Linked DNA regions of Ovis aries. The protein of the gene in region 2 interacts with the protein of the main gene of each other region in a pairwise test. Links are inferred from orthologs where the notes say so. Each region holds a gene or a part of one and is shown on either strand. Other genes may lie near its edges. The genes, in order: MORN4, NUTM1, P4HA3, SAMD4A, SH2D4A, RIC8A and ZNF277.

Region 1 (4,315 bases), on a different chromosome or scaffold from region 2:
TATGAAATTTCCAAACAGTGGCATCCCACCAGTAGAAGGAACCTGAAAGGGAATAATGCTTTTCTAAAACTTGAGGATTATCTAGGGACCAAGTACTAGCCAGCCCTTCCAATTGTAAACCTAGCCACTCTTTCAGTATGTTGTTAGCTTTGGGGCAATATATCCTAAACATTTCAAAGAAGCCAAAGAAATGAAAGATTAGCTTCTCATTACCAAATAGAATGGACTGCATTTTCCGAAGATATTTGCGACCATATTTCCTGTCTTACACGTTCTTTTACAATTTGACCTTGCCACTGTCCCATCAAAAACTTGTGTCTAACTCACCTATGAATCTGGCCAGGCTTGTGATTGCTTCAACCAATAGAAGGTGATGGAAGTGATGATGTGTTCTGAGGTTAGATCATAAAAGGTGATGCAGTGTCCATCTTGCTCACTGGTACACTTGAGCTCTGAGACCTGAGACATCACAGGAGTAGTTTGATTATCCTGAGGCTACCATGCTCAGAGGCTGGGCTACATAGGTCACATGCGCTGGTGCTTTCAGTCAGCAGTCCTCATCTCTGAACCACCCTAGCCTAGGCACCAGGAGTGAGTAAAGGAGCTTTCAGAATGATTCCAGCTCCCAGCTATTGAACCTGCATCTCAGCTGAGGTATCATGGAACAGAGTGAGGTCATTGCCATGATGCCCTCTCCGAATTCCTGACTCACAGGATCTGTGAGCATCATATGGCAGGTTTTAAGCAGCTAATTTTGGGGTAATTTGTTATACAGCAATTGTAACTGAAACATCATCTCTCAACCTAACCCTGCCACTGTCCTTTTCCATTTGTTTTTAATGTAGTATGTCTGCAGGTACTACAAATTCTCATTCCTTTTTGTTTTAGGGTGATAGAGCAAACTTCAATAGTTGCTTGTCAAAATGATGTCAGTTCCCAAGAACACAATCAGAAGTGCTAATTAAAGGAACCAGATGTACACTCCATTCCTCTCAGGCCATGGTTGAACACACTCGAATAGAAACTTCTACATGTGTCCAAATAATTGATATTGTCACTGCCTGAGTGTCAGGGTTTTCATTTATGACTTCTGTAATTAGCCATGCTAATTAATAGCTGTAGAGCTACTGACCCAAAAAGGAACTTTATCAGTAATCATAGTTATTGAGACAAATCTAGTTTAATGAAGTATAGCCAGTGCTAATATAGACTAAAAATAAAACCCAATACTTTAATAAAGGATGCAAATCAGTATTTGTATCAGCTATTCAAAAAATATTTTTAAAGAGAACAGATGGCCTAGGAGTTTAGGCTTCAGATACATATGTGGAATCTAGCCAGAAAGTCAAGATAAGTCATCCTTCTTAACAGATGCCCACCCTTTCTCTCTTGATAGATAGGTTGCAAAGGATCAAACCAAACATTTACCTAAAAGAAAATGACTATTTTTACCCCATAAACCAACACACTGTTAGTCTACACAATACACTATATCCTCACTATCTTTATTTTCTCCTGCCCCAAACATTTCCAAATAGAACTAGAAGACAGGGATGAAAACTTTTGTTTCCATTTCATTTGTCTTTTTATAAAATTTCAGAAATCAAACTGATCAAAAATATTTATGGATCCACAGTAATTAACATATATCCAAATCCAGAGGATTGAAAAAAAAAAAACTAAAAGAAAGCAGATTTTCAGTTTAAGAATATTTTTTGAGGCATCCACTTGAACTATCCACATATATTAATAAGCATCACATGGTTCCCCTAAAGCCACCCTCCCCAGGGTATGACAGTCTTGTCAAAGTTCTTTGAGCTGTAAGGAAAGCAGTTCTTAGGCTTTTAGAATTCCAAAAAGAAGAAAATGAAGGCTTTGATGAACAAAGATCAGGCTTGTAAGAGACCTAGAACAAAAAGTCAAATGTTCTTTTTAAAGTATTTTAAGTGAACTTAAAATAATTTTCTCTTTTAAGTCTGTAAATCTCTTTCACTTTAACAATTCTTCCTTCCACAGGAAAAATAAACAAATGTATCACTATTAGATAAAGGTCTTATTTAGGAAGACTGTGAGACAGTTAAGATTGGAGAAAGTGGAAAGAAAATCCTGACGCCAGAAAGAAGATCAAAACAAAAAACCAGAGGCCTTGGGGCGATGGGGACTGCCAGGATACTATTCTAGTCCATGAGAAAGTAAAATGCCTGGGCTGGGTTCTAATATAGTCGAGTGACTTCCGCTGGTACCTAAGCAGTTTGGAGATGCTAGACGTAGGAATGCCACCATCAGCTAATTTAAGCATCCCCTTTCCCAAGACTCACTGAGTGTATGCGGGACGCCTCTCCACCAAAGTGTGACTGGCGAACCCTGAGCAAACAAAGCCCTAGACCGCAAGAAGGCAACTCTTCTCGTCGACCTCCGCATTTCTTCTCCCACCGGTCCTAGCCTTTCAGCACAGCTCCTTCCCTCCACCCGGGGTCAGCTCTTCCACGCGGGCGGGGTCTTCCGCTCACACAGGTCTGCCATCCGCTCTTCACAAAGCCCCCACCCACCCCTCTCACCATTCCGGGCGCCATGGGTTCCCCTCGGGCCTCAGACCCCGCAGCAGAGACGGAAGCCTGGGTTTTGGGACTCCCGCGGGTGCCACCCCCCCACCTCCCCGCCGATGGAGCCGCGCTCCTCAGCCCCTGTCATTTCGGGCTGGGCTCCCCAGTCCCTTTTGCCCGATCACACTCTCCCGGCCCCCTCCCACCCGTGCTGCCAGTCAACCTGGGCCGGGGCTTCAAGGATGATCGTCTCACCCCGACGCCGGGCTGCACCGGCCCGGACCTCCGTTCCGCCCAGCTCGTCCTTGCCACCTGCCTCTCCGCGGCTACCTCCAGTGCCTGCCCCACTTGACGCCGCCATCCTGGGTAGCCACACTGGGAACAATTCCCGCAGTCCATTGGCTGTTACCTAGGCAACCGGTAGCAACGCCACTCCCCATTGGGCCAGTCCCGGGCTCTGCGCCATCTTTGTGCGGGGCAGTGTCTCAGGCTCCCTGCGCTCAATACCCGAAAGAGGGGTGGGGCTGAACTATAGTCACGTCTCAGCAGCCGGGAGAACTCAGAACTCACCTACCAGGGGTAGCCTAGCTAACTAGCCAAACCAAACCAAACCAAACCAAACCTGAGTCAGAAGTAGCAATGACCACCTACACCAGCGTCTCCTATCCTGCTCAGATCTCCGCAGTTGTCAAAGGCACCCATGAGGAGCTAAAGGACAGGAACCCCAAACTGACTTTTGAGATTGCGACTTTGTAAATTGTAAAGAGCAAGACAGGACAACTGCAGTTTCATAAGTATCCGTCCGCATTGTGATATCAGGGCAATTTTACATTCACTGTATGGATTTGTGTTGTCGTTGTCATTACTCATACCATTTATATTTAAAATATAGTGTCAAGATTGGAACAAATCCTCCCAAATATCATGCACACCAACCGACTTACCCATATTTATTTACTGAACAATGTGAAAGCTGCATGATGCTAGGTTCTGCCAGGTTAGAATAGACATGATCACGGCTCTCATAGGATTTACTGACTCCATGTGGAGAAGAAAAGATTCGTGCAAGTACAAAAATCCAAGACTATTTAATTATTAAGAGAGGGCAAGCACGTGAACAGAGTAAGTAGATTTCTCCTCTGAATTTGGATTTCCTAATCTGTAGAATAGGATGGTAATAGTAATAATGATAAAGTCTCCCCAGAACTTGTACGAAAATACAATATAAAATTCTCTGTACTGTGTCTGACCTTGTAGGAGTCTGACACTGCAAGTGTTCAGTAAACTGTAGATTTAAATGATAGTGGTGATAGTTACACAACATTGTGAATGTATTTACTGTCACTGAATTAGACACTTGTGAACAGTTAAAATGATAAATATTACATATATTTTAACCACAGTAAAAAAAATATGGTTTCTTGATCATAGTGGTGACACAGTCAAACCAGTGTTTTAAGAAAATTAATCTGTCACTGACACCAAAGATGATCAGAGAGAGAGTGAAAGCAGAGGAACACACTCAGAACCTCTTGACAGTTGTGGGGCGCCGGACTGAGCATCCAGTGCAATACAGCAGTTAACTGCTGGCCATCTGTTTTGCTGCAGTCCATGGGGTCGCAAAGAGTTGGACACGACTACGTGACTGAACTGGTCTGCTTTGCACATGCTGGTGTGTATGTGTCAGTGCTGCTCTCTTGATTTGTCCTGCCCTTTCCTCCCCCACCTCCTGTGTCCACTATATGTGAAATAGATAGCCAATGGGAATTTGC
Region 2 (4,360 bases):
AGAAATTTTGTTACTTAGCAGCCAGGAATGACTAGAGGTAAGAGCCAGGAAGTGGGTAAAGGGAGGGCGGTGTGGGGAGGGAGGTTTCCAGAGCTTCAAGTAGATGCTAGACATACTATAATGTTTATCTGTGATCCTTCTGCTTGAAACTCCTAATGCCAGAAATTTAGGGTCCACTTTTGAAAGGCCCTGACCATGAAGTCTGAGACACAGTTCAGGGGCTATGTGGACTCTAGTCAAAGAGACCAAGGATAAATATATTAAAACGTGTACTTAATCAGGACATGTGTCTCCTAGGACTTTCAATAATAACAGATCATCTGCCTAATTTCAGGTTGCTCTCCTCCCCCTCTTAGATTATTCTGCTGGCAAATTAACAACGTTCAGCTTCTGCTGCTTCCTGACCACTGAAGGAGACAGGGAATACGAGCAGACTCTTCACCTCAGGCACAGAGCAGAGGACCAGGAATACTCCCTGAAGAACGGAACACAGTGAAATGGGTCTGAGGCCTGAGTTGCGCAAAAGGCAGAAAGTCAGAGCGTCTCAGGGAAGCCCCAGTCCTCATCTCTGCTAGAGTGACCCACCTCCCCTGACCCTGGGAAAGCAAGGAAAACTGCTCCCTGCACGAAAAGAGAAGCCCTCGCTGGGGCTGGAAGGAGACAGGAGGCTCTGAGCAGAGGCACTTACTGCACCTCCTCATCTAGCTTCTAGGAGGACAGTTCTCGACGGACTTGGCAACAGATGGCCCCACTGAACAGTTTTCCAGACAAGGCTTCCACTCCCTACACCCAGTAAAATTGAGAGCGGCCCTAGATCAGTTCTCTCAGGGCAAATTCTAGAGCAGCCTCCAATTGCCTAAAGAAGACACCAGAACTTGGGCCTTCCACTGGAACCCCCCTGTGTCCCCCATTCCACACACATCCCTGCCCCTGCCACACAAACACATGCTGAAGGTCACCCTCTTCCAGAGAAGCAAGTTGCTAACTACCATCCCTTCTCTCTACTCAGCACTTTCCTCAGAGGTGCTCTGATCTGCCACCTAGGAGGCCCCCTTCCTTCCCCAACCCCTAGTATTAACAGCACCATCTCCTCCCCCAGTGTGATGCCTCTGGTGGTGTCTGGTGTTCTCACATCCCTCTAGGTCAGCCCTGAGAGCTCGTCCCCAGGTAAAGTGTCAAGTTTTGAATCGCTAAAGAGGGAGCTGGTGGCAGAGGACCCTCCCCTACCGGCAGGCTCACCTCCATCTGAAGACATCGTCTCAGGTTTGGGCACTAACTGTGGCTGTCTGGAAGCCTCCAGAATGAGACAGGCAGGTCCAGGACCCAGAGAGTAAACTCCAGTCGAAACACAGGGATCCAAGGAAGGGAGGGTAAACATCAGATCAAAACAGAACTAGAATCTAGAACTCAAGGCATCATTCTACAGTGGGGGGAAGGGAGGGGGAAATGGGAAGTTAGGGAGATATTCCACAAAGGACTCTGGTATGTAGGCAGTAACCAGGAATGCCCTCCAAACCAGAGTATGGCGACACAATTGTGTATCTCTTCAGGACAACTTGCCAATTATTTCTCAGATTCCCAACCACGTAGTTTCACATCTTGGTTCCCTATACACTTCTTCACCAATATATCTAGTTTTGTGCCTTTCAATTCTACCCAGTTTTGTACCTGACTTCCTATTAACAGCAGACTGTGGCAAACTCTTGACAATTCAATGTTTGCTGTATTTTCTAAACCAAAATCAAAGCACATAGTCTATATATTTACGGATCAAGTGAACAGAATGTTTCAAATTAGGGTTGTCTCACAATATCAAGGGTGCTGATTTGCTGTATGTATATCATTTCCTTAGAAAGCTGTTTTGCAGTTCCCAAATAGACTATTACCATCACCTCTGCAGTCCACAAACAGCTCAGCCATACCCTGGGCTGAAAAGCTTCCCACTTAATCAAAAACTGCCACTCAGAGTAAAATTCCAAGACCCAAAAGTCTTTTTTGTTTGTTTGTTAAATTATTTTTGTGGTTTTAAATTTTGTTAAATAATTTTAATTTTTAAAATGGGTAGTACATCAGGACTGTTCAAAAGTCAGACTATTTAAAATGGAGTACACAGCAAGTCCACCCCCCGTCCTACTCCTTCTGGAACCAAGTTGAGCTCTTTATGCCGGAGGAAATCAGATTTATTCTGGATCCTCACTGAGATATTTTATACAACTACAAGCAAACACAAACTATACTTAAAAAAAAAAAAACCAACTTTAAGGTTTTTCTGGTTATAAAGCTGCATATATCTTCCAACGTTTTTCGCCATTATAAATCATACCGCAATGGTCACCTCGGTTAATGATATCTGGGTTCCAATTTTCATTTCTTTAAACCAGAATCCTATAAAGAGAATTTGTACGTTCTTTTAAAAATTCGCCATACCTCTAAGAGGCGCATCTTATCACGCTATTATTAGCTACTCACCACTACAGAGAGTTGAATTTGTGGCAGAGACCTGAGTTTGAATCTTGGGTCGACCACTAAAATATGCTTCACCGGTTTCGTAAAATAACTTCACGCTCTTTTCGCTGTGCAGAATATGGAATACCCATCGTGCATTTTTACCGCCAATGTTTGAAACAGGGCGAGAGAACCGGATGTAAAATAGGGGAAGGAAGAAAATCTTCTTTCTTTCCTAAGGTAAAGGAGGCTCTGGATCCTGGAGCCTTTAGTTCTGCAGGTACTAGAAACTCATTGCCTCTGAAATGGGTGTGCATCTTGAAATAAAAACAGGATAGTATTCAGTTATGTTTAATCTATATCCATCCCTACTCCCCTCTCTCCCTAGCAGTACCAGGCCCACAGTGGGCACACTGCACGTGTCGTACAACTCCTACAAGATTGCAACTGGGTTGCAACTGGTCACGTTCTGAGCTAGTGCGCCTCCTTCTGTCCGGCTGGAGAAAAGTCTAGATAAACTGGACTACAATTCCCGGCGTGCTTTCAGAGCGAGACTTCCGGCTGTACAGGAAGGAAATTGACCAACACGTGAGGCCTTCAGTTAGAGGCAGCTGCGGACAGAATTGGAACGTCCTGCTTTAGTGTGATCATGTTTCTCCAGTATTACCTCAACGAGCAAGGAGAGCGAGTCTACACGCTGAAGGTGAGAAGGGTAAACGGGCTGGATGTCAGCTTAGCGATGCATGTCATTGGAAGGAGCGGTCGGGAGAAGACAGTGAGTTGCCTAGCTGCTTGGGCGGGGGCGGGGGAGGGGGCGGGACTAGAAACTCCAGAAGCCGCGCGTGGTATTAATTAATGGAAGCAGAAATGCGTGGCTTCTAGATCTTACCGTCGCGTCTCCTGTTTTCATGTTTGCCGTTTTTGCGCGGCCCCTGATGTTGAAGCTCAAACTCCAATGCGTTGGCCACCTGATGCGAAGAGCTGACTCATTTGAAAAGAGCCTGATGCTGGGAAAGATTGAGGGCGGGAGGAGAAGGGGAAGACAGGATGAGATGGTTCATCACCGACTCCATGGACATGGGTTTGGGTAAACTCCGGCAGTTGGTGATGGACAGGGAGGCCTGGCGTACTGCGGTTCATGGGGTCGCAAAAAGTCGGACACGACTGAGCGACTGAACTGAACTCCCCATCCCAGCCTCCATCTCCCTTTTGAGGCCAGGGATTGCGTTTTCCCACCATTCCAGTGCTGAGATTATGTTCTTTCCTCCTCGAGCAGAAGCTTGATCCTATGGGACAACAGACGTGCTCGGCCCACCCTGCTCGATTCTCCCCAGACGACAAATACTCTCGACACCGAATCACCATCAAGAAACGCTTCAAGGTGCTCATGACCCAGCAGCCGCGCCCCGTCCTCTGAGGATGTCTTAACATTTCATGTGTCTTCTGCTGCCTGCCAGCACCCAAGAGACTTTCTGCAGCCAGGCTCTTCAGTCTGTGAGCCTGGAAGCTTGCTCCGACCCTTGCCCCTCGAGTCCGGTCTCATCTTTGCCTTCGATCATGCTTGTTGTGAAGCAGTCATGGTAGCATCCCCGTCCAAGGGAGATATCTGAATATTTTCGTACTTTGAATCACTGCCAGGTTATTAAAATGATTTCAAAGAGCTGTTATTTTGTATGTTGTGGGAAGAAAGGAGTGGTTTAAAAAAAAAAAAAAAAACGAGGGAAACGAGAGGGAAGAGTACCCCAGGGATACAAGACCACTTGGAAGAGAAACTTAGGCGACTGCTGTAGCAGTCGTGCTGTGCTGTGAGTCATAGCAGGGTGCTAGGGTAGGGGAAGAAAGCTTGAGAAAGACTTGTGCAACTGTTAGCATTAAGTAAGAAATACCCATGTTGTCAGTTAAGTAATTTTTTGTC
Region 3 (2,934 bases), on a different chromosome or scaffold from region 2:
AGTTCTGACATTGATCCTCCTTAGTTACATTATTTAAAGCCCCTAAGCCTCAACTTCCTTTCTGCTAAGGTGGAAATGACAATGATGCCTGCTTCCTGGGGGTGTTATTAGGAAGTGCCTAAGAAAGGCTAAGCATCAGAATGAAGTTCTTAGTTGTGTGAGGAATATTTTGCTCCCCCTTGTGCTTTTTGTTGAGTGCCTGGCCTCAGTGATCCCGTGACACCCTGTGCTCCCCTTTCCCCTGACACCTGTCAGTCTCCTCCTGGTTTGTTTTTATGTCTCTCTCCCACGAGACTATGAGCTCCCTGAGAGCAGAATTGATCATGATTTGTCTCTGCATCCACAGGGTCTGGAGAAGGGCAGGGCCCTGTCAGTAAGGCATCAGTGAATGAGTCAATGGCAACTTGTCTACCATTTTGTGCCATTTTATGTATTCCTTGCCCCCATCTGCATGGACGGTTTTCTTGGTTAATGACATGTATGCATTTGTCCTCAGTCAGGTGCTTCCCTAGCACTGAGACTCTGGGCTGACCTTGCCTGGGGCGGGGTCTGCTTCTTTCAGAATGCAGCTCTATTTTGGTGGAACCTGCACAGGAGTGGTGAAGGGGATGGTGACACACTTCATGCTGCCTGCCCTGTCCTGGTAGGAGATAAATGGGGTAAGGCCTGCCTTTCTGGGCATGGGAAAGGGGTGAGGGGTTCAGGGGAAAGTGAAATCGGGGTTGGATAGAACATAACATAGCCTGTCATTCCAAAAGCTTCGTAACAGGGACTTCCCTGGTGGCCCAGTGGTTAAAACTCTGAGCTTCCATTGCAGGGGCCCTGGATTTGATCCCTGGTCTGGGAACTAAGATCCCACATACTGTGTGGCAAAAAGAAATAAAGAAGAAAATTTCTTGAACTGAATAAAAATGAAAAAACAACAAATTAACTTTAAAAAAATTAAATGGAAAATAGCAAAATTAGGGGAAAAAAAGCTTCATAGCAATGTCACATTATACTGAGGTGATCAGATTCTGGGCTAGTGGCCACCAGTACCTTAGGAACCCATAAAGGGGAGGCTTCTGTCCTATAGCCAGTGTCAGTAAAAGTTGACTGGCCTGACCAGACAGGCCTGATTCCTCAGGACAGCTAAAGAAGAATCAGTGCAAAGTCCCACTCCTCTGTTCCAAGGAGAAAACCATCAGGTGCTTTCCCATAAGGAGAGGTCAAAGAAAGATAAGTAAGGGACACACGCACATCATACATGTGTCCACGAGAACTTAGCTCTTAAGACAGAAACAGTAGAAGAGGGACTCTTGTGCTGAGGTGGACCTGACCAGGGAGGGTCCATGCCTTTTCTCTCACTACCCTGAAATGGTACCCTGTGGGAGGAGGGGCTTTCAGGAGCTACATGAAGGGGAAATGACCACAGTACCCATGGGTTTGAAAATTAAGTCTCTAGTAGATAGGACCTGTGGGGATTTTTTCCAGGGACCACTGCCCTTCTTGCTCTTTATTGCTACTGGAAGCAACATCTTGTAGTCTGTGACAGGCCTGGGACCAAGGTGAGGCAAGCGAGTCCCCAGGGGTATGGAATTTCATGGCCCTGTGAGTATCGCCTCTGTCTGATCTGCTGAGCCTGCTCCTCTGCCTCCCCGTTCTCCCTCAGTGGCCAACAAGTGGATACACGAGTACGGACAGGAATTCCGCAGACCCTGCAGCTCAAGACCTGAAGACTAAAGTGTTGGCAGAGAGGAGCTGGAGGAGGCCTTCGGCTTTCCAAAGAAGCCGGAAGTAAAAAGCTAGGGTAAGAGAGTAGAAAGGGGAGCAAGCTTCTGGAGGAGGCCCTTGTCAGCACTGTCTGTTCCTTGCAAATGGGAGACAAGGAAGTGGTCTCTAGCAGGGACATTGTTTCTCCTCAAGCCATGACTCACAGCAGAATGACCAAGACAAAGGAGGGGGCCCGAAGGCTGGAGAGAGAAGTTTCTGGAGCTCAGACTCTCTTTTGGAAACAGGGCCTATCAACAGTCTCCAGGGTTTGGTCGGTGGGGCCTTCGCCACTTGAGCCTTGACCACAGGGGCCCAGAGTGGCAGTGAGGCCCCTGCAGCCGACGCCTGACTCCCACGTGCCCTTCTGCCCACTGACTCCTGCTGAAGGCTGAGCAGGGGGTGTCTCTGTATCAGGAGTGTACCTCATGTGATGACTTTTTCATAGCAGACAGTAACTTTTTTAAAAAATATGATTTTTAAATACAGCCATTAAAATGTTTTAATAGTCATAAAAAGTGTTTACAGATCATTTTTCACAACCATGAACATTCTTATGTTCTGAAAACAGCAGAGCAGAATGTTTTATTTATGTATAATCTCATCTTGGCTCATCTCCCACCACTCCCCACTCAGTGCATTCCAGATGCATTCTATTTCTTAAAACCGACATTGGTCCCACTCTTCAGGTCTTTGCACTCACTGCTGCCACCGGGGCTGAGCCCTCCTCATCATTCCACTCTTGAATCAGTGTCGCTTCAGAGAGAACTTCTTTGACACCCATCCTTCTAGCCATTTTGTTCACATAGGCCAACTTTATTTTCTTCCTAACACTTTTCTCAAAGTTACTTTATTCATTTAATTGTGGTCAGTTGCCTGCTCTGCATGGTGAGTGCTTTAAGATCCCTCTCTGCTTTGTAAATGCCTCACTCCATTTTTCAGTATTTGTTTATTTGCCTAGCTGCTTGCACTCCTTATACCTCTTGGTATACCCCCCAGAAAAAGGTCTGTTTCAAATAAGTAGGCATTCAGCAAATATTTTTGGATAAATGAGTAAGAAGGCCTCCTTTGAGCTATGCTTTGGAGGACGGGTAGGATTCTTATAGGCAGAGTCTAATGAGGAGCAGCACTTCCCAGCAGGACTGGCATGAGCTAAGGCTGCAGTGATGAGTGACTGATATTTGA
Region 4 (4,612 bases), about 39 Mb from region 2:
TAATAATGAGCTTAAGAAAATTATTCACATACCCTATTTTAATGGTAACACCTAAATTTCTGCAGCTCCACAGACCTTTCAATACCCCAGCAGATGGTTAGGTCCTGTCACGTGTCTCACAGGAACTAAATGGTGCAGAAACTAGGTTTGAGGGAGGAAGGAAGAAATGATTGAAAATCCAGGGACATATGCTGGAGTTAAAGAAGGAAGTGTTAAATCCGTGGATAATATCTCAGACACTTTATCTTCAAAAATACTGTATTAGCGAGAGTAAAGAGGCTGGATTTGAAGCATGCGTTTCACAAATGTCTCAGAAGTACTCATACAGAAAGCCACAGGTTGCTGGAGAAATGTTCGAGGGCTCTGTGTTTTCACTTAAAACATGGGGAATAGTCTGGATTTGGTCACCAAGTCCTCTTGTGCATATTCAAATAATATCAGAAGGCACCGAGATTTTTAGGTTTTAGGGTATTTTTAACCAGTTCTCTACCTTGGAGACCAGCCGAGGCCACTTTCCCAGACCTCCCTGTGCTGCCTGGCCTCAGCGCCGCACCCCCCATCCCACAATTGCACCCCACCCCCTGGCGCGCGCGGCGAGGACCTCTGAAGCCTCGGCCCAGGCCTCGCGCACTCTGCAGGGCCAGGTGAAGGCTGCCCAGCCCTGCGACGACGCAGACGCGCTGACAGGTGGCCTCGCCCGCCTCCTGGCCCCCCGCGGCGGAGCTCCTCTCCGCTCCAGGCCCGCAGCCCGAGCCGCAGCCGCAGCCAGCGCGCCAGGCATAGTTTCCCAGCGGGCCCCCAAAGTCGGGCGGCTTCCCCAGGGGAGAGCGAGGCCCCAAAGGGGCCGGGGCCGCCCACAAGAGCAAAGGACATCTGAGGTCCGACCCGGGCGAGGGGTGAGCAGCCCAGGAACTTCTCGCGCTCATAGAGGACATGGGCAGCACGGAGCCTGGTGCCCAGGCACTTCCAGCCCTGCATACGACCCCTCGGCCTCCTCTGCCTTTTGCTTCTGCGACCCCTGAACCTGTCCACACCCGCAGCGTCCTTGACCCTAAGTCTCTGCCACCCTCGGGCCCCAGTAGGGCCGAGGGGTCACCGGAGTCCGCGCACCACATTCCCAAGGACGAGCAGCCGGTGGCAGCACCGCCCCCGCTCAAGCACCCTCCGGGTCCCCTCCCGTCCGCAGTCCGGCTGCTTAAGCGCCCTGGCCCCTCCAGAACAGGCAGGCAGCAGAGGGCCGGAATTCACTTGGACCCCTCCCCTTCCCCAAACTTCTTCCCTCTCCGCCCCGCCGTTCCTCCAACCCGACCCCTCTGCGCCATCTGGCTCCTCCCTCTCCGCTCCCCTCCCCTTTTCTGGTCCCCACTTAGGAATCCACCTCCCCCCACCCCCGCCGCCGGCCGGGTCCGGGGATCCTCCCCCGACTCCCCCCGCGTGCCGCCGCCGCCGCCGCCCGGGTTCCTCTCCCCCCGCTCGGGCGCTCCCTGCCAAGCCCATGATGTAATGGTGTATGTTAATCAGTAGCATGTGGGGAGCTCCGGCTCGGGCGGCTCAGTCCTCCGCGAGCCTACACTGGAGGCGGCAGGAGCGGCGGCGGCGGCGGCCCGATCCCGCAGCGCCGCACTCTCTCCGCGCCGCCCGCCCCGACGGCATGGCCCGCAGCCCGCCCTCCGGGCGCCCCCAGCCTCGCTGAGAGCCACAGCCGCCCCGGACCCGCGCGTGGGGCCCCGAGCCGCCGGGATGAGCCGCTCCGAGGTGAGCGCACTCTGTCCTACGCCCCAGGCCGAGGGGCCCGCGGTCTCTGGGTCCCCTTCCCGGGGGCCTTCCCCCGCCTCCGCTCGAGAAGTTCTGGGAACCGGGAAACTGGGGTGCTGAGAGCGAGCCGCCCCTCGAGGGCTGGCCGAGTCGCTGGGCTCTCTCTTCTTCGCCGCTGGCGGCCACCCGGACAGGGTTAGGACTGGGGGAGCCCTCGAAACCGAACTTTTCTTCTTCGCGGTCGTTCGGGGGCGTGTGCCGGCGGCACGGAGCCGCAGTCCCCACGGAACCGCCCTGCCTGCCGCGGGGGGCAGTGCTGTGGGCACCGACTGTCTCCGCGCTCGGCGTGCGCCAGTGGCCGTGCCGACTTCGGCCTGGGACGCGCGGGCCAGGCGCTGGGCCGGCCGGACCCGCCCGTAGGCGGCGGGAGCTGGGGCAGGATGCCTACAGCACACACACGAGTACACACACGCGCGCACGCACACACACGCACACATCTGAACGCTTAGGGCGAAGCGGACCCTCAGAGACCTCCCGGGTGGGCTGGAGCCGAGCGGCGCGCGGGAGCCGAGGCTCCGGCTGCGCCTCTGCCCGCTGGGCGCTGAGCTCTGGGTGGGGAGAGTTTATTTTTGTCTCGAGCTGCTGCCGCGGCTGCTCACGGCCTAAATCCAGAGGGGCGCCTGGCGGTGGAGATGCTGGCTGTTGCTGTAGATGGAGCTGCAGCCGTTCGGCTGCTTCTCCGAGAGGAGGAGGAGGAAGAGGTGGCGGAGGAGGAGGAGGGAGAGGAGGAGGAGGAAGGAACTCGGGCTGCCGCGCCTCCGCCTCTGCTTTGCATTAGCCCCCACCCCCACCCCCGCGCCCCTTCGCAGCCGCAGTGCAAGTTTTCTGCGCGAGGAAGATCTGTTGCTGGTGCGGGCGTTTGCAGGCACAGCCCCCGAGGCCACCCCGGGCGGGGTGTGTGGGGAGCACTAGCCGTTCGCAGCAGCAGCAGCAACAGGAAGCCGTGCGGTCTTCCTCACGCACCTGGGAAGGAGGCTTCTTGCCTTTCCCAGAACGGGAATAGCTCCTCTCCAGCATCCGGGTGCGGAGGGGGCGGCCGGAATTTGGGAGACTAAGACCCCGCGGCGCGCCCCCCTCCGCCCCCTCAGATGCACTAGCTTCACCGGCGCACTCCCTCGCTGGCCGAGGTCTCACTGCAGCCTTTTCTCTCCTTCCAGTGGTGATCGCTACTCGGGAATGCGGGTGTGAAGGGTCCGAGCTGCTGCCCAGCGGGGAAGAGACCCCGGGACGCCGGAAATCACCATCCCGAAGCTGCGAGAAGAGGGGAGGGGGAAAGAGAGCCTTCTTCATTCAGTTTGTGTGCCTTGTGGGGAAAATTTTTTTTTTAATCGTTATTTTTTTAAAAAAAGAAATATTTCCGTGCTACTGTCTGTCATCATCTCTGGGGAAATCAGCCAGAACCACCAGAACGTAACTGAAACCAGACGAGAGAGGCAGGAGCCGAGGCAGTACCTGCAGCGTCCGGGCAGCAGAGCCACCTTGGAACGGGAACGCGTCTCCGGCGGCCGCGGGGCTGCGGCTCCGCCAAACTTTGGGGCGGGCGGGGCGGGCTGGGGCGCCCCGGGGGCTTTGTAGACTGAGGGCCGCCCCCTAACCATGATGTTTCGCGACCAGGTCGGGGTGCTGGCGGGCTGGTTTAAGGGCTGGAACGAGTGCGAGCAGACTGTTGCGCTGCTGTCGCTGCTCAAGCGCGTGAGCCAGACCCAGGCCCGCTTCCTCCAGCTTTGCCTGGAGCACTCGCTGGCCGACTGCGCCGAGCTGCACGTCCTCGAAGGCGAGGCCAACAGTCCGGGTAAGTGCGCGGCCGCCGCCGCCGTCCCGCGGTCCCGGTTCTCCTCCCCACCCCCAACCGCCGCTGCCCAGCCTCGGGCCTGGCCCCGCCCCAGATCGCCGGTCCTTGGGGACCGAACCACCGCGGCCCCCGGGTCCTTGGCATCTCTCCCCCGAGGCCGTGCCGCCCACTTACCTCCGCTGGCAGCTTCGGGTTTTTTTGCTCACTGTCAACTCCTTCAGTTAATTCCGTGTGGTAGCTACGGTAGCATGAATGATTGATTTTTCTCTCATGCAGTTTCCTGGGAAATAATTAAGTCAGGTCACGTAGAGTCTGGATTTTCTGGGCTTTTTTTCTTTCCTCCTTTTGGGCAACGTGGCTCTCTGGATTTCAGCAACACATGAAGAAGCCTGAGACTGCCCTTCAGAAGCTGAGCTTTGACTAGGCTACATGAGGAATATATGAAACCCAATTTTACATTCTTTTTTTCTCCACCGATATTCCAATTTTAGAGCTCTGTTTTCAGAATAATTTGTAGGTGACGCTACAGACTATTAAAATGATATTTGCATTTCGTATACTACGTGCTTACACTTAACTATCACGACTTTATTTATATTGATACGCATCTTATAGAAAGGGTCTCATAGGGAGCAGGCATGAATCAGTGTCTTTAATGCTTTTGTCAGGAAACTTTACTGAACATAACAGAATTGTTTCCTATTACCCTGCTAGTGTATTTACAGACACCTCAACTAGTACAGAAAGTGAATACACTGAGATATATTCAGCAGTTTGCTATTTGCTAGCATGGGTGGTGACAGACTGGAATTATATCCGGGGCTGGGGGTAAGGGGTGAGGGTGGGGGTTGGGGAAAGGTCTATTGGTTGTAATTTGGGATGGGGAAATTCTTTAGTTCATGCTGCAGCAGGAGGGTGAACAGAGCCCCCAGTGTTTATGCAGAGAAAAGAATGCAGGGTCCTCTTCCAGCTGTTCCATGTTAGAGCCGCCAGCCTGCAAGACTC
Region 5 (3,812 bases), on a different chromosome or scaffold from region 2:
AAGTCTTTACCAGCTGAGCCAAAAAGGAAGCCCAAGAATACTGGAGTGGGTAGCCTGTCCCTTTTTCAGGGGATCTTCCCGACACAAGAATCGAACCAGGGTCTCGTGCATTGCAGGAGGGGTCTTTACCAGTTGAGCTACCAGGGAAGCCTGATTCTGGGCTCCCGGAAAACTCCGTGCCCCTGACTTGGAGCCAGACGGCCGGGCACACCCCCTCCATCGTCTTGTAGGAAATGGGGATGGTAAGGGGCTGAACTCCAAGGTTGGGATGAAGATTCGTTAGTTACTGCCTTCACCGCTCATGGTCGGTCGTGGCTGCGGCTGGGGTCAGCGTCTGAGACCAGGAGTGCGCCAGGTGGGGAGGGGAGAGCGGATTCAGCCCTTTCAGGGTTTTCCTGTTTAGGTGCTGCCTGCCCTGTCCCTGTTGCTGGGAGTCGCCCAATTCCAGACTGGGGGATAGAGCGGAAGCTTCCAACTTCCCTGGGCAGCTCCTCTCCCCTGTGTTTTATTTCTGTGAAAGTCAACCCCTGGTCAAGAAGTGTCCCGGCGTAAGGACCTTTACCGGAATGTCATCTATAGCTTTTATTATGTTGAGGTGTGTTCCTTCGGAATGTCAAGGACTCATTCACTTTGGCTTCTTAGCACTTGGTCTCCAGCACTGGAGTCCAGTGAGTGGAGGACTTACCTTCTTCCTGCTGTTCTGACGCCTACAGACAAGAGCTCAGCCTCTGGAAACCCCCGTCAAGTGTAGATTTAGTTGTGCCCCTCTCCTGGAGACCGCAGAGTCAGGACCGCATCGCAGGACATCAGTGGTGTGGCTGTTAGAGCCTTTGAGGGTCGCCTCAAAGCAAAATACAAAGCTAGCCAGGCAGCCTGGGGCAGGCGTGCCTGACTGAGTTAGAGTCGGACGGTGCCTTTAATTCTTTTAAAAATTTCTCTAAACACTGTGTTCCATTTGAGCCCCGGGTAACTGAATGCTACAGATGGCAGGACGCAGATGGCGAGGGTCGTGGTAGCCTCAGTAAAGGTCCCTGCTACACAGGGCATGTTAGTGAACGGAACTACATGTTGTTGGTACTCAGGGCACCCTGGGTACCCTGGCTGTTGGGCTGTTGCTTGTGCTTCTCTGAAAAAGCTGGTGTAAATGGAGAAACAGCTGCGCAAGGAGGTGGAGCAGGAACGAAGCTGCAGGAGCCTCCCGGGCGTGAGAGGAGTGTGGCAGCCTGCCTGGAGGTGACCAGGAGAAGGGCCGGGGGTGACTGGCCATGGGCCTGGGAGGGCCGCCGTGTGGCTGAGCGACTGGTCTGAAGCTTAAGAGCCTTTGAAGTTAGTTTGGAGAAAGAAGATATTTGAGAGGGCGTGGCCAGATGGTAGGATTGTTAGTCTGTTTCTTAGAACATAGGTGATCCTGCAGAGTTGAAATAAATAAGCTTTTTGTGGATTTCTTATTATATTGGAACAAAATAAGCATTCTGTTTTTCCCCCCAGAATGGAAATGTGTACATCATTTTCTCCTAATGACAAAAATGTGAAGGTTTGCTATATTTTTTGAAAATAGACCAAATGGAAACGTGTGAAGTAGAACACGTCTGCTGAGGAGTAGGTGCCCCTGTGAAGTCACCTGTGTGCTCAGGCCCAAGGCTCCTCCATCTGAGAAACTGTCTTACAGAGCGAGGACCCTTTGTGATGAGCCTGGTCACCCCTTCAGTTCAGTTCAGTTCAGTTGCTCAGTCGTGTTTGACCTTTGCGACCCCATGGACCGCAGCACGCCAGGCCTCCCTGTCCATCACCAGCTCCCAGAGTTTACCCAAACTCATGTCTGTCCAGTCGGTGATGCCATCCAACCATCTCATCCTCTGTCATCCCCTTCTCCTCCTGCCTTCAATCTTTCCCAGCATCAGGGTCTTTTTCAAGAAGTCAGTTATTCATATCAGATGGCCAAAGTATTGGAGTTTCAGCTTCAGCATCAGTTCTTCCAGTGAACACCCAGGACTGATCTCCTTTAGGATGGACTTGTTGGATCTCCTTGCAGTCCAAGGGACTCTCAAGAGTCTTCTCCGACACCGCAGTTCAAAAGCGTCAATTCTTTGGTGCTCAGCTTTTTTCACAGCCCAACTCTCAAATCCATACATGACCACTGGAAAAACCATAGCCTTGACTAGACGGACCTTTGTTGGCAAAGTAATGTCTCTGCTCTTTAATATGCTGTCTAGCTTGGGCATAGCTTTTCTTCTAAGGAGCAAGTGTCTCTTAATTTCATGGCTCCCCAGTTTATCTGGTCTGTAAATTTAGACCCTGTGAAATTAGGGTATCTGGAAGAGGCACGCCTAAACCCTGGTGCCCTTCCAAAATGCATGTGAGTGCCCTGTCCTGCTCTGCACGGTTTCTGTGGTTCTGGTGAGTTGTCTGAACACCGAACTGTCCATCTGTGAAGATGACAGCGCATAATTGTTTGTATTAACAGCCACTTGTAAGGGAAAATGGGAAAATTGCATTATGGTCTAATTTTTATTTCTTCTTTATTTCTTCCTTAAGCCTGGCTTGGGTTTGGGTGGGTAATTCTCTGAAATCTCAAAAACAGTGTTTGCTTTTGAAGTACGTTGTTTGGAGAGAGGCTTTTAATTTCATCCTTGCCTTTGTCTCTTTAACTGTTTTTAGCTGTGGACGTGGTGGTTTGTTGAGCTCGGAAGTAATCGCATGTTTGCTTAGTTGGGAGACAGCCAAGCCTCTGTTAATTTTTTGTTTCCCTGAGAGTGACCGGTAAAAAGTTAGGGTTTATTTTTTTGTTTTTTTGTTAAAGTATCTTTGGAAATTACAGGATACAGGTTACACAAAACTCTTAACAAAGCTTGCCTGAAATAAAGGCGGATCTGTGTTTCTGCCAAGCTTGCTCCTAAGCCCGTCCTGGCCTTTGTACCTTCTAACACAGTTGCATCTTGGCGGTTGCTCTTTGCAGGTTCATGAGTGGCGTTTTGGACAGGGGGCCCGGTGTGGGAACCCAGAGCCAGTTCGCTGAACTGCCGCCGTCCCAGCCCCACGAGCGTCTGGGAAGGTCTGTGGGTGCCCCCCCGTGCCAGCCCAGGGGAGGCAGCCCTGGAAGCCGTTCTCAAGAACTTTTGCCTCAGGTGCAAAAGACTCCAGCCCCGCAAAGATGCTGAAACAGATCCTGTCGGAGATGTACATAGATCCTGATCTGCTGGCAGAGCTAAACGAGGAACAGAAACAGATCCTGTTCTTCAAGATGAGGGAGGAGCAGGTCCGCCGCTGGAAAGAAAGAGAAGCAGCGATGGAAAAACAGGAGTCCCTGCCAGTGAAACCCAGGCCGAAGACAGGTAAGCGGAGCTCACTCCTCCCGGAGCCTCCGCGGCGGGCGGCCTCCCTGCTTGTTTGCATGGCTCACACTGGTCAGCAGCTAGCCGCGTCTGAGGTCTGGTTTGGCAGGCAGACCCTCAGTGTTACTGAGCTTTTCATGGTGCAGTTGATTAGCCTGAAGCACGCGCGTGCGTGCGCGCGCACACACACACACACACACACACACACACAAGCAGCAATACTCTGGAGTGGTGAGGCTGAGAGCAGATGTCTTTCTTGAAACCGGACTGACCTTAAGCTGCAGTAAAAAGTCACGTGGAGCTGAACTCGAGGGGCATGTTCGGGTCCACCTCCTCTTATCCCAGATGCCTGGTATTCTGCTCTGCTGGGCTTAGTTGCTCAGTCGTGTACAATTTGCGACCCCATGGACCGTAGCCCGCCAGGTTCCTCTGTCCATGGAATTCTCCAGGCAAGAATATTGGAGTGAGTAGCCTATCCCT
Region 6 (4,258 bases), on a different chromosome or scaffold from region 2:
CGTTTGGGCAACCCCACGTACTTTCCCCACCTTTAAATGAGGGGTGGAAAACAGCATGTTTAAAGTCGTTAACCACCAGCACACAAGACCATTCCCAAAGCACTGAATCTTAGGCCTGCCGTGCTCCAGCCCGCACGACGCCGGCAAACCCCCAGAGAAGCTGGTCAGAGTGCCGGCCAGTCAGCATCCCAGGGTGCAGCTGCAGGGAGCGGGGGGCTGCGGGCTCTCAAGGGCCTGTGGGTCCTCCGAGCGAAACCATGGCACAGCTGACGCCCATCTCGAGGGCTGCTCGTGCACAAGGACATTCTGAGTCCAGGGGCACAGAGAGGGATGGGGAGCGTGGTGGCACTTCAAGGGGGTAGGGGTGGGAGGCTTCTCAGGACTCCTCAAGAGGATTCACAAAGATGTCTAAGAAATGAGTCCTTTGCCAGATTCTGAAAGCACTTTGCCCCTCATCCCTCTCTGTGCCCCTGGACTCAGACTGTCCCTGTGCACGAGCAGCCCTCGAGATGAAGCCCACAGACTTCTCAGGGAGGAAGATCCGGCTTGACCATGACGTGGGAGGAACCGCCCGAATCACACTGGGGAGGTGATCTCCCCTCACCAGTGTGGACAGCAAAAACACAGTGACCACAGTAGCTGCAAAAACCTGGGCCAAAGCCACAGCAGTCCCCCTGCCCACCTGATGAAGACGCTTCTCCATGAAGCTGAGGAGGACACGAATCACATCCATGTTCACCCCTAGGAACTCCAAGGAACCTCCGTGTGGCTCCAGGGCGAGGAGAACATCCAGACACTCGACAGGCAAGTTCCCCAGGAGGTTCACTGCGTGGCTGGGGGCAGATGGAAGGGGCACTTGGTGAATACCGACCCCTGCTGCCAGCTGCTGGGGCCGTAAATGCCGTGAACCAGTGTCTGGGGGCCCAAGCAGCAGAACAAGGTACCAGAGGCAAGAGTGCTACTTCCTGTAAATGCCCAACCCACCACGTATCTAGGTTGAGGCACCACAGCTAAAACTGAGAACCGGCCTAGGCATAGGCCACCAAGAAGGAAAGTGAGGAAGCACACCACCCTATCGATACCACAGCGCCCGCTGCCCCTACCCAAGGCCCCCTGGCACCGTCCTGCCTTGGACTCACACCTCCGATCCTAGACCATAAGTGCTGGAGCGCCCCAGAAACACACTTTTGTCTGGTTCCACCCAGAAGGATGAAGACTCTAAGGCTGGGAACCACCACAGCGACCTGTGAGCAAACCACCCCCATTCCTCCCCACCCCCCCGCATGACAGGCACCCCCCTCACCCGTGGAACTCCTCTGTGCGGTCTCCAGCAGCAGCAACCATCACACAGTGCCGCAGAAGGGTCCCCAAGTGCCGGTATAGAGCAGTGTCTTCCTGACCAGACAGACAGGAGTTCCTGTGAGAGCGCGCCCCACTGGCCCCACTGCTGCCAACTGAGAGTCTACCTTCTGGACACCCCTGCAAGACCTCATGCATTAACAACTATGCTTCTCTACTGCACACCCTGGTGCTTGTCCTCTCCCAGGAGACCTCAAGAGAACTCTCGGTTAAGAAAATCAATGGATCCCCTTGGCACACAGCTGCTCTGTGCTTCAGCCCCACTCAGTCTCACCACGAAGAATCTCACAGCCTCCCCTGCACACCACACAGCCCTCCAGCCAGGCTGCAAGAGCCAGTTATGCTCTCCAACTCCCTCAGAAAACTTCCTTGAGACCGGTCCAAGATAGGTGTTCCCTGCTTCTCTCGACTGGCTAAGCACACCTAATCCAGAAATTTGAAGGAACCCAGCAAAGCAGCATGTGCAGGAAATGTCCAAGCTGTTAAACCCCACCCACAGGTTGAGGTCCGCCCTCACCTCATCCACCTCCCTCTTGATGGAGTCGAAGGTGATGTTGAAAAGCACTTTGAGGATCTCCATGGCTCGCTCAGTCTCCTGGGGAGGCAGGAGCTCAGGGTGCCTCTCGCCCTCAGTCATTCCCAACGTCAGCTCCAGCGCCCTGGTCAGCAGGCGCACTCCCTGCAGCTCCTGAAACAGCTGCTGGCGCACGTCGGTGCGGAGTGCAGTTAGCAAGAACAGAAGACGCAAGTCAAAGAACTGGACGTCGTGCGGGAAGCTACTCCGGCTGTGCAGTCCGACGCGCTCTGCGAGCCTCACCACTAGCCCCGCCTCTGCTGCCAGGACCTGTGCCCCGGGGCTGCTTAGCACGAGGTTGCACAGGCACTTAAGGGACTCGAGTACGACATCCACGTTCAGCGGCTCAGGGACCGACCCTTGGGAGGCGGAGATGCCAGCATAGCAGGCAAGAGCCTGCAGGCTCCGGCGACTGGTGAAGGAGTCCAGGCAGCTGCGGTCCCTGGACAAGATGCGGATGCTCTGCAGCCAGATAACGCGGCGGGAGGGTGGCAGGCCCTGCTCCAGGACCGAGACAAGCAGCTTCGCCAGTCTCTGCGGGCAGGGAGAAGAGCCGTTCCACCAGGCCCTTCTACCTGGGCCACCCAATCACGCCCCTCCACCTCCGGTGAGCACCCACCTTCCTATCCTCCTGTTGCGCATCATCAAACGTGAAACTCTGGGAGTTCTGCAAAGAAACCCAGAGGCTAGAAGGCACAGGCCTACCGCGTCAGAACCCGGGTTCCGCGGATGGGGGCCTGAGGCCGAAGGCACCTCTATGAACAAATGGCGCCCCAGCCCCACACACCGGCACCCTCGCAACTCCTCAGAGAGTCGGTGCTCCTCCCCATCGCTCTCCCTTCCACCCTCAGCCCCTTGCCACGCTCACCGCTCTCGCCGCCCCTCCAGCCGGCCACGCGCGCGGGCCCCACCCGGCCCCACCTCCTCTCTGCACGTCCCAAGTCTACAACTCCCGCTCACCTCCCGGTTGTACGCGCGCAAAGCTTCCATAACCACGTCCTCCTCCCCCGTCTCCAAGGCATCCGCAACTGCACGGGGCTCCATGGCACCTCCAGGACCCGATGCCAGGAAGGCCGGAGGCTCCCGGCTTCGCGATTCCGGGCAAGCGTCTGCCCGCCCCGCCCAGGCTCGGCGCGCGGGGGAGGCCGGGACGGGGCGTGCGCGGCGCCGTGGGGCGGGGCCTGGGTTGCGCGCAGGGGAGGCCGGGACCGGGCGGGCGCCGAGCTCTCTGGGTTGCGTGGAGCCTTAAAGGGGCGGGGCCTGGGCTGCGCGCGTGGGAGGCCGGGACGGGGCGTGCGCGGCGCCGTGGGGCGGGGCCTGGGTTGCGCGCAGGGGAGGCCGGGACCCGGCGGGCGCAGAGCTCTCTGGTCTGTGTGGCGCCTTAAAGGGGCGAGGCCTGGAACAGCTGGATAGAACTTGAAGACTTTGCTGCCGAGTCAGCTTTGGCCTTAAACTCCGGCTCGGTGATCGTCCGACTTATGGGCCAGAATCGCCCTGAACCGAGCAGTGAGCCTCACTCCTTGGGCTAGGATTCCTGACAGGAGAGGGCCTCAGCCCCGCACCCCTCCATCACACGCACACCAACACCGCTCTTGATGCACAGAACGAATGAAACGTCCAGGGAAAAGTCGAGGTGGAAAGGAGTTTACAACCTCCGGACCACTTGGTTTCTAAACAGATGTTTGAGTGCCTACTGCACGCGAGGAGCCGGGATGCGGGTGAATAGAACCCACAGGTTCCTGCCTTCTTGGCGCTTATGTGCCGGATGTGAAGACTAAAACGGGCAAACAAGACGACGTTAGGCAGCTATAGTGCTGTGATTGAATAACAAAAGGGGCTTGATGGGCTGCAAGGAGATCTGAAGAAGTGCCAGTCAGTTTTTGCTGAGACCGGAGCCTAGGGAGTGAGCCAGGAAAGGCTCCGAAGGAAGGTTCTGCAAGGCAGGAGTGGCCAGTGCGAGGGTGGGAATGGCCGTGGAGGGAGAGAGAAACATCACTGTTGGAGCTGAGAGAAAAGAGAGACGGGGTCGGGGTGGGGGGAAGGTCAGGAGGAAGACAAAGTCTGACTGTGTGCGGTGACTTCCCTGCTGTGTAAGCAGGCACACCTGCTCGTCTGCTTGGGCTGTTTCCTTTTTTGAAAAGCAGAGACGATACAAGTTTCCATTTCAGTGGATTGTCGAGTACATGGCACAGCAATTGCTCCATTACGGGGGGTGGGTAACTTATAACCCATCCACCGGGCAAGAAGGCTTTGTTAAGCATCTACTTTGTCAGGCCCCTTGTCAGCACCGCGTGCAAGGTCAAAAAGCGCTGGCTCCTCCCGTAC
Region 7 (4,589 bases), on a different chromosome or scaffold from region 2:
AATACTATATTAAGTATTATATGATAACACTTTCTCTGTCAAACCTTCTCAGAGGTTATAATTGCATTTGGCTGCTTCAGGCTTGTCAGAGAGCCTTCCTTTTTAATAGTCGCAACCTAAAAGGAGTAACTGTCAAGGGGCGACCCAGCTGAAATCAAACAACAAAAACGGGAACTGTAATCCGCCTGAAATGGGAGGAGGGAAAGGAAGGGAGACTCCTGTATTCATCCGTCAATATTAATGTCCTTTGTTGTTCACCTTTACACAGAACAGCGAGCGCTACCCTGCTCCTTTTCCTCCTAACACCCGTATCAGGGTAATCTTTCCTAAAAGCTGTCTCGTTGCCTCGAAGACCCAAGCTTTCGGAGTCTCTCTCCCGATTAACACTCCACAGCTGTCCTCCAGCACCACCCCCACCATGAGCAGAGAGGGTGGTCAGAAGCAAAAACATTGCTGAAATACCCGTTTCCCTCCAAAGACCAAAGAGCAGAGCGGCGCAGATGTTGAAATTTACTAACCCCCGCCCCACCGCCTCTCCGAGCGCGCACACACACACCGGGTAACCCGGGATGGGAGGGAGGAGGAAGGCTCGGGCCGGACTGTCAGAGCGGCTCTTCTGAGGACGGTGCCACATTCCGCACTCCGGGAATGTGGAAGGCAAAGGGAAGGTTCTGCGCCTCCCTTCTGTTTTGGGGATGTTCTCTCTCCGCTACTGTTGTCTCCCTCTCCACCCTGGGAAGTCGTTGCAGCCCTTGCTTTCTTTAAGGTAAAGGAGAAGGAGGGAGAGGAAAGCCGTCCGTTCTCCTCTTCCAACTTGACACACACACACCCGGTAGCCACTCCAAACTCCGCAGGCAGAGCCCGCAGCAGCGGGCTGGCCGCGCGCTCCCCTCAGCCGTCCCGGCACTCCCTCCGGGAACCCATGCCGAGAGCTCCCATCCGGCGTTGAGGGGCGAGACCCCGAGGCGCAACCCTCTGCCAGGAGGTGGCTGAGCAAAGCCCCTAACCCGCAGCGCGATGCCAGAATTAGGCATTTGCAGCCGGGCTGAGCGAGAGGGGCACGGGGGCAAGGACGCGAAATTCGCACTCGGTCGGGCTAGGACCAGAGCAGAATAAAAGTTCGCCCCGCGAAGACTCACCCACGCCGTATTTCTCGTGCTCCGTAGGTATCCACATGGCTAAACAGGGGTCCGGGGTCTTCAGGCTTTGCAATCCCCGCGCCCCTTCTCCGGCTCACAACAATGCACAGCTTCCGAGTAGTGGCTGCAGCGCTGGAGCCCCGCGGCTCCGCGCGGGCTGCGGTCGCTGGGCAGGGTCTGCGCTGGAGGCTCCCGAGCCCAGCGTTGACACCGCGCGGCCGAGGCTGCGCCGCCCGCAGCTCTGCCGGCTGTGGCTGCTCAGAGTCCTCCGACGCGCTCCCGGGAACCCAGAGGCGCAGTCATTGTTCTGATTCACTGAACTAAGCGAACACGCCGGGGCACTCTCCGGCGCACCCCCGCCCGTCAGCGCCTCTTCTAGCCCTCCCTGCCGAGCGCCCCGCAGCACGCTGGGAACTGTAGTTCTACAACAGCTCCATCCCGGAAGGAGGTGGGGAGTTAGCGGCTAGGGGCGGGACTACGTCCCGCTCGCCACGTTCTATTGGTCCAGATCGTGACGGCGCGGAGTGGGCGTGGAGGAAAAGTCGCGTCAGTGGGGAATTCGTTTCCAATCGCGTTTCCATTGGTCCCGCGCTTGGTCTGCGGCCCTCTTTTTTTTTTTTCCCCCTCAGCCGAGTAATGGCTGCTCCCAAGACCCTGGGGGCTGCTACCCAAGGGGAGGAGGACAGTGATGGCAACCGTGGTGGAGCCAGAGGTGTCAGTTATGAGGGTGAGTACGGTGCCTCTGAGGTGCAAATGGTTTTTTGTCTTCGTTTCTCTCCAACCTGGAATACAGCTGACTGCTGGACGGACCTTAGCGCTAAGGCCACTTGAGCGCGAAGGGGCCACGGGTGGAGCCCCGCGGGACAGGAGGGGGTGGGAGAAGGCTACTTGCTGGAGACTGTCTAGGAGGGAAGAGAAAATGGGATGAAATGGCCTTATCCGCAGCCAGGGAAGTTCCCTGGGTTCTGTCCTACGTTTGGAGCTCCCACCTTTACTTTCGCTGCCGAGTGGGCGTGGGTCAAGGTTTGCGCGTGTGTGAGTGTAACTCTGGAATTAGCTGTCCTCTTTCCTCGCCAGTAGTCTACCCTCGCCTCGGTTTGCTTGGTTTGGCCTCGAGAGATAGGTTTTATTTGGGTTCGAGCGGATTTCCATTTGCAAACTGGTTGGTCACTCTACAGATTTTTCTCAGTTGTTGGCTGGAGCAGCCTCTGAAGGGAAAGTCTGTATGACTCTCACAGCTTCTTCCCCTGTCAACTGCCCCGGGCGTTCTCCAGGATTGAATGTAGAGAGCCTGGGAGATCTTCCCAAACTCTGGGTCCTTAGAGCAATAGGAAAGGAAATGGTAATTCTTGTCATGGCTTCACAGAAAGTCATCACAGCTACTTTGGCTTTGCTTCACTTTCAGGTTGTCTTCTGACCCAGTATAGAGAGCAAAAATAAAACTTTGAAAGCTGCAGAGGAGGTTATCTTTAGAATCCCTAGCCCCTTTCTTTTGTTGTTGTTCTATCCATCTATCATCTATCCATTTATCAATGAGTCCTATCCGACTCTTTGCATCCCCATGGACTGCAGCACTCCGGGCTTCCCTGTCTTTCACTGTTTCCCTGAGTTTGCTCAAACACATGTCCATTGAGTCATTGATGCCATCCAATCATCTCATACTCTGTTGCCCCCTTCTTCTCATGCCCTCGGCCTTTCCCAGCATTAGGGGCTTTTCCAGTGGGTCAACTCTTTGCATCAGGTGGCCAAAGTATTGGAACTTCAGCATCAGTCCTTCCAATGAATATTTTAGGTTGATTTCTTTTAGGATTGACTGGTTTGATCTCCTTGCAGTCCAAGGGACTCTCAAGGGTCTTCTCCAGTACCTCTGTTTGAAAGTATCAATTCTTTGACCCTCCGCCTTCTTTATGGTCCAACTCTCACATCCATACATGACTACTGGAAAAACCACAGACAGACCTTTTTCAGTAAAGTGATGTCTCTGCTTTTTAATACACTGTCTAGTTTGTCATAGTTGTATCCTTATAGTCTGTGTATCACCAACCTTACTCCCTTCTTTTTTGGGCTGATACATAAGTTAACACAGCTAGTTGTCTTTTTCCTTTTGATTTCTGTTTTGTTTGGCCACACCATGCAGCTTGCAGGGGGCTTGCAGGGGCTTAGTTCCTTGACCAGGGACCCAGTCTAGGTCTCCTGCAGTGGAAACTCTGCCCTCTTCAGAGTCTTATCCACTGGACTGCCAGGGAAGTCTGTTGATGTTTTTTCTGTTAGGTCAGTTTATTTCTCTTCCTAGTTTCTTGTCTTGTTACACCAAAAACTTAGAGTGATAGATGAAAGGGTACAGAATAACAGACAAGTTACAGTTCAGTTTGGCTCAAGCAGACTGATCTTTTTTTACACAGACACTCCTAAAACATGGGAGCAGACTGACTCCAAGGGAGCTCTCCTCTTCCTTCCTGTTGATCCTGTTTGATAGCCCACTTTCATACTTCCAGTTTCTTCCTTTTGCCTATGGTGTGTGCAAAGTAGAACTTGTACCCACCACCAGTCAATGAAAGGGAATGCAAATAGGCATATACTCAAGGCTGATTGACAATTGTAAGTTATGTAACAGCAGGCTATGTTGTTTCTGTCTTCTCATAATTCAGTCCGTTATGATTAGATGTAGAATGTTCATGAGCCCTTACTGGGCTCCTAAGTGCCTAAGGTTACTCGGAGAAGCCCCTTGTTTATTTTGTATCCACTCACTGTGTGCCTAGGGCACATGTGCATGAGTTGAAAAGTCTCTGGTTATTTTGTAGCATATCTATGAGCTCCAGCTTGCATCCCTTTCAGCCAGGCCTCCCTTGTTGCTCATGTCTAACTTCCTAACATAACAAATGTGGTTTGAGGCTTAAATTTGGTTCTTTATCCTTGTCATTGTTTTTTTGTTGTTGTTGTTAATTTCTTGCTTTGTGCTTTCATGGTTAAATTGACTTTTAGTCATAAATTTTGTCTTAGCACAGAGTTAGTGCTACTTCTTCCCACTTCAGTGAAACCCCTACTTCTGAAATTATTTCAGTACCTCTTTCGAGAAATTTTTAGTAAGCTCCATTCTTAAATATTTTGTTATATTCATACCCTAAACAGTTCATTTTGGGATATGCCACATAGTCAACTCTTATCTTATAGTAACATACTAAAGATTTTCCAGATTCTCAAAGTTCCAAAAGGCTACTTGTTTAACATTTGAAGGTGGAATCATTGGTAAATTTATCTCACCAAGTAACTCATGAAAAAGAAAATTGGCTATGCCTTTCAAAAGCATTGTGTGACTTTTAAATACATTAGTCATTTTAAAATTATAAAACATTTAATCATTAAGAGTTCAAACCATTCAGAGGTGTGTAAGGTAAAAAAGTAAAAGTTCTTGCACCACACACAGTCTCAGTCCCAAAGTAACAATTCTTG

The links.
Region 1: the proteins of NUTM1 (region 2) and MORN4 interact in binary tests that used the Homo sapiens proteins (3 or more experiments, as listed by UniProt). The two-hybrid records come from large-scale screens. The link is inferred for Ovis aries from reciprocal best matches to the Homo sapiens genes NUTM1 and MORN4.
Region 3: the proteins of NUTM1 (region 2) and P4HA3 interact in binary tests that used the Homo sapiens proteins (3 or more experiments, as listed by UniProt). The two-hybrid records come from large-scale screens. The link is inferred for Ovis aries from reciprocal best matches to the Homo sapiens genes NUTM1 and P4HA3.
Region 4: the proteins of NUTM1 (region 2) and SAMD4A interact in binary tests that used the Homo sapiens proteins (3 or more experiments, as listed by UniProt). The two-hybrid records come from large-scale screens. The link is inferred for Ovis aries from reciprocal best matches to the Homo sapiens genes NUTM1 and SAMD4A.
Region 5: the proteins of NUTM1 (region 2) and SH2D4A interact in binary tests that used the Homo sapiens proteins (3 or more experiments, as listed by UniProt). The two-hybrid records come from large-scale screens. The link is inferred for Ovis aries from reciprocal best matches to the Homo sapiens genes NUTM1 and SH2D4A.
Region 6: the proteins of NUTM1 (region 2) and RIC8A interact in binary tests that used the Homo sapiens proteins (3 or more experiments, as listed by UniProt). The link is inferred for Ovis aries from reciprocal best matches to the Homo sapiens genes NUTM1 and RIC8A.
Region 7: the proteins of NUTM1 (region 2) and ZNF277 interact in a two-hybrid assay, tested with the Homo sapiens proteins (2 studies listed by BioGRID). The two-hybrid records come from large-scale screens. The link is inferred for Ovis aries from reciprocal best matches to the Homo sapiens genes NUTM1 and ZNF277.

What each region holds. Positions count from the first base shown.
Region 1 is NC_056075.1:18,633,865-18,638,179, forward strand, and holds the start of MORN4 (MORN repeat-containing protein 4), read right to left. Parts: upstream 2,921-4,315; 5' UTR 2,767-2,920; intron 460-2,766; exon of another isoform or gene 328-459; intron 1-327. UniProt on the Homo sapiens protein: Plays a role in promoting axonal degeneration following neuronal injury by toxic insult or trauma.
Region 2 is NC_056060.1:26,484,818-26,489,177, forward strand, and holds the start of NUTM1 (NUT family member 1), read right to left. Parts: upstream 3,008-4,360; 5' UTR 2,470-3,007; intron 2,386-2,469; 5' UTR 2,324-2,385; intron 1,421-2,323; 5' UTR 1,379-1,420; coding exon 1,240-1,378; intron 1-1,239. Other genes in the region: NOP10 (H/ACA ribonucleoprotein complex subunit 3), read left to right, coding at 3,095-3,148, 3,722-3,862. UniProt on the Homo sapiens protein: Plays a role in the regulation of proliferation. Regulates TERT expression by modulating SP1 binding to TERT promoter binding sites.
Region 3 is NC_056068.1:52,347,764-52,350,697, reverse strand, and holds the end of P4HA3 (prolyl 4-hydroxylase subunit alpha-3), read left to right. Parts: intron 1-562; coding exon 563-659; intron 660-1,651; coding exon 1,652-1,722; coding exon of another isoform or gene 1,723-1,780; 3' UTR 1,781-2,267; downstream 2,268-2,934. UniProt on the Homo sapiens protein: Catalyzes the post-translational formation of 4-hydroxyproline in -Xaa-Pro-Gly- sequences in collagens and other proteins.
Region 4 is NC_056060.1:65,150,592-65,155,203, forward strand, and holds the start of SAMD4A (protein Smaug homolog 1), read left to right. Parts: upstream 1-1,553; 5' UTR 1,554-1,755; intron 1,756-2,620; exon of another isoform or gene 2,621-2,836; intron 2,837-2,972; 5' UTR 2,973-3,411; coding exon 3,412-3,607; exon of another isoform or gene 3,608-4,612. UniProt on the Homo sapiens protein: Acts as a translational repressor of SRE-containing messengers.
Region 5 is NC_056079.1:37,631,069-37,634,880, reverse strand, and holds part of SH2D4A (SH2 domain-containing protein 4A), read left to right. Parts: intron 1-2,956; 5' UTR 2,957-3,151; coding exon 3,152-3,332; intron 3,333-3,812. UniProt on the Homo sapiens protein: Inhibits estrogen-induced cell proliferation by competing with PLCG for binding to ESR1, blocking the effect of estrogen on PLCG and repressing estrogen-induced proliferation. May play a role in T-cell development and function.
Region 6 is NC_056074.1:47,475,036-47,479,293, forward strand, and holds the start of RIC8A (synembryn-A), read right to left. Parts: upstream 3,045-4,258; 5' UTR 2,978-3,044; coding exon 2,894-2,977; intron 2,601-2,893; coding exon 2,553-2,600; intron 2,468-2,552; coding exon 1,877-2,467; intron 1,396-1,876; coding exon 1,304-1,395; intron 834-1,303; coding exon 683-833; intron 1-682.
Region 7 is NC_056057.1:57,731,841-57,736,429, reverse strand, and holds the start of ZNF277 (zinc finger protein 277), read left to right. Parts: upstream 1-1,712; 5' UTR 1,713-1,775; coding exon 1,776-1,866; intron 1,867-4,589. Other genes in the region: DOCK4 (dedicator of cytokinesis protein 4), read right to left, coding at 1,140-1,176. UniProt on the Homo sapiens protein: Probable transcription factor. Involved in modulation of cellular senescence; represses transcription of the tumor suppressor gene INK4A/ARF, perhaps acting via the Polycomb group (PcG) complex PRC1.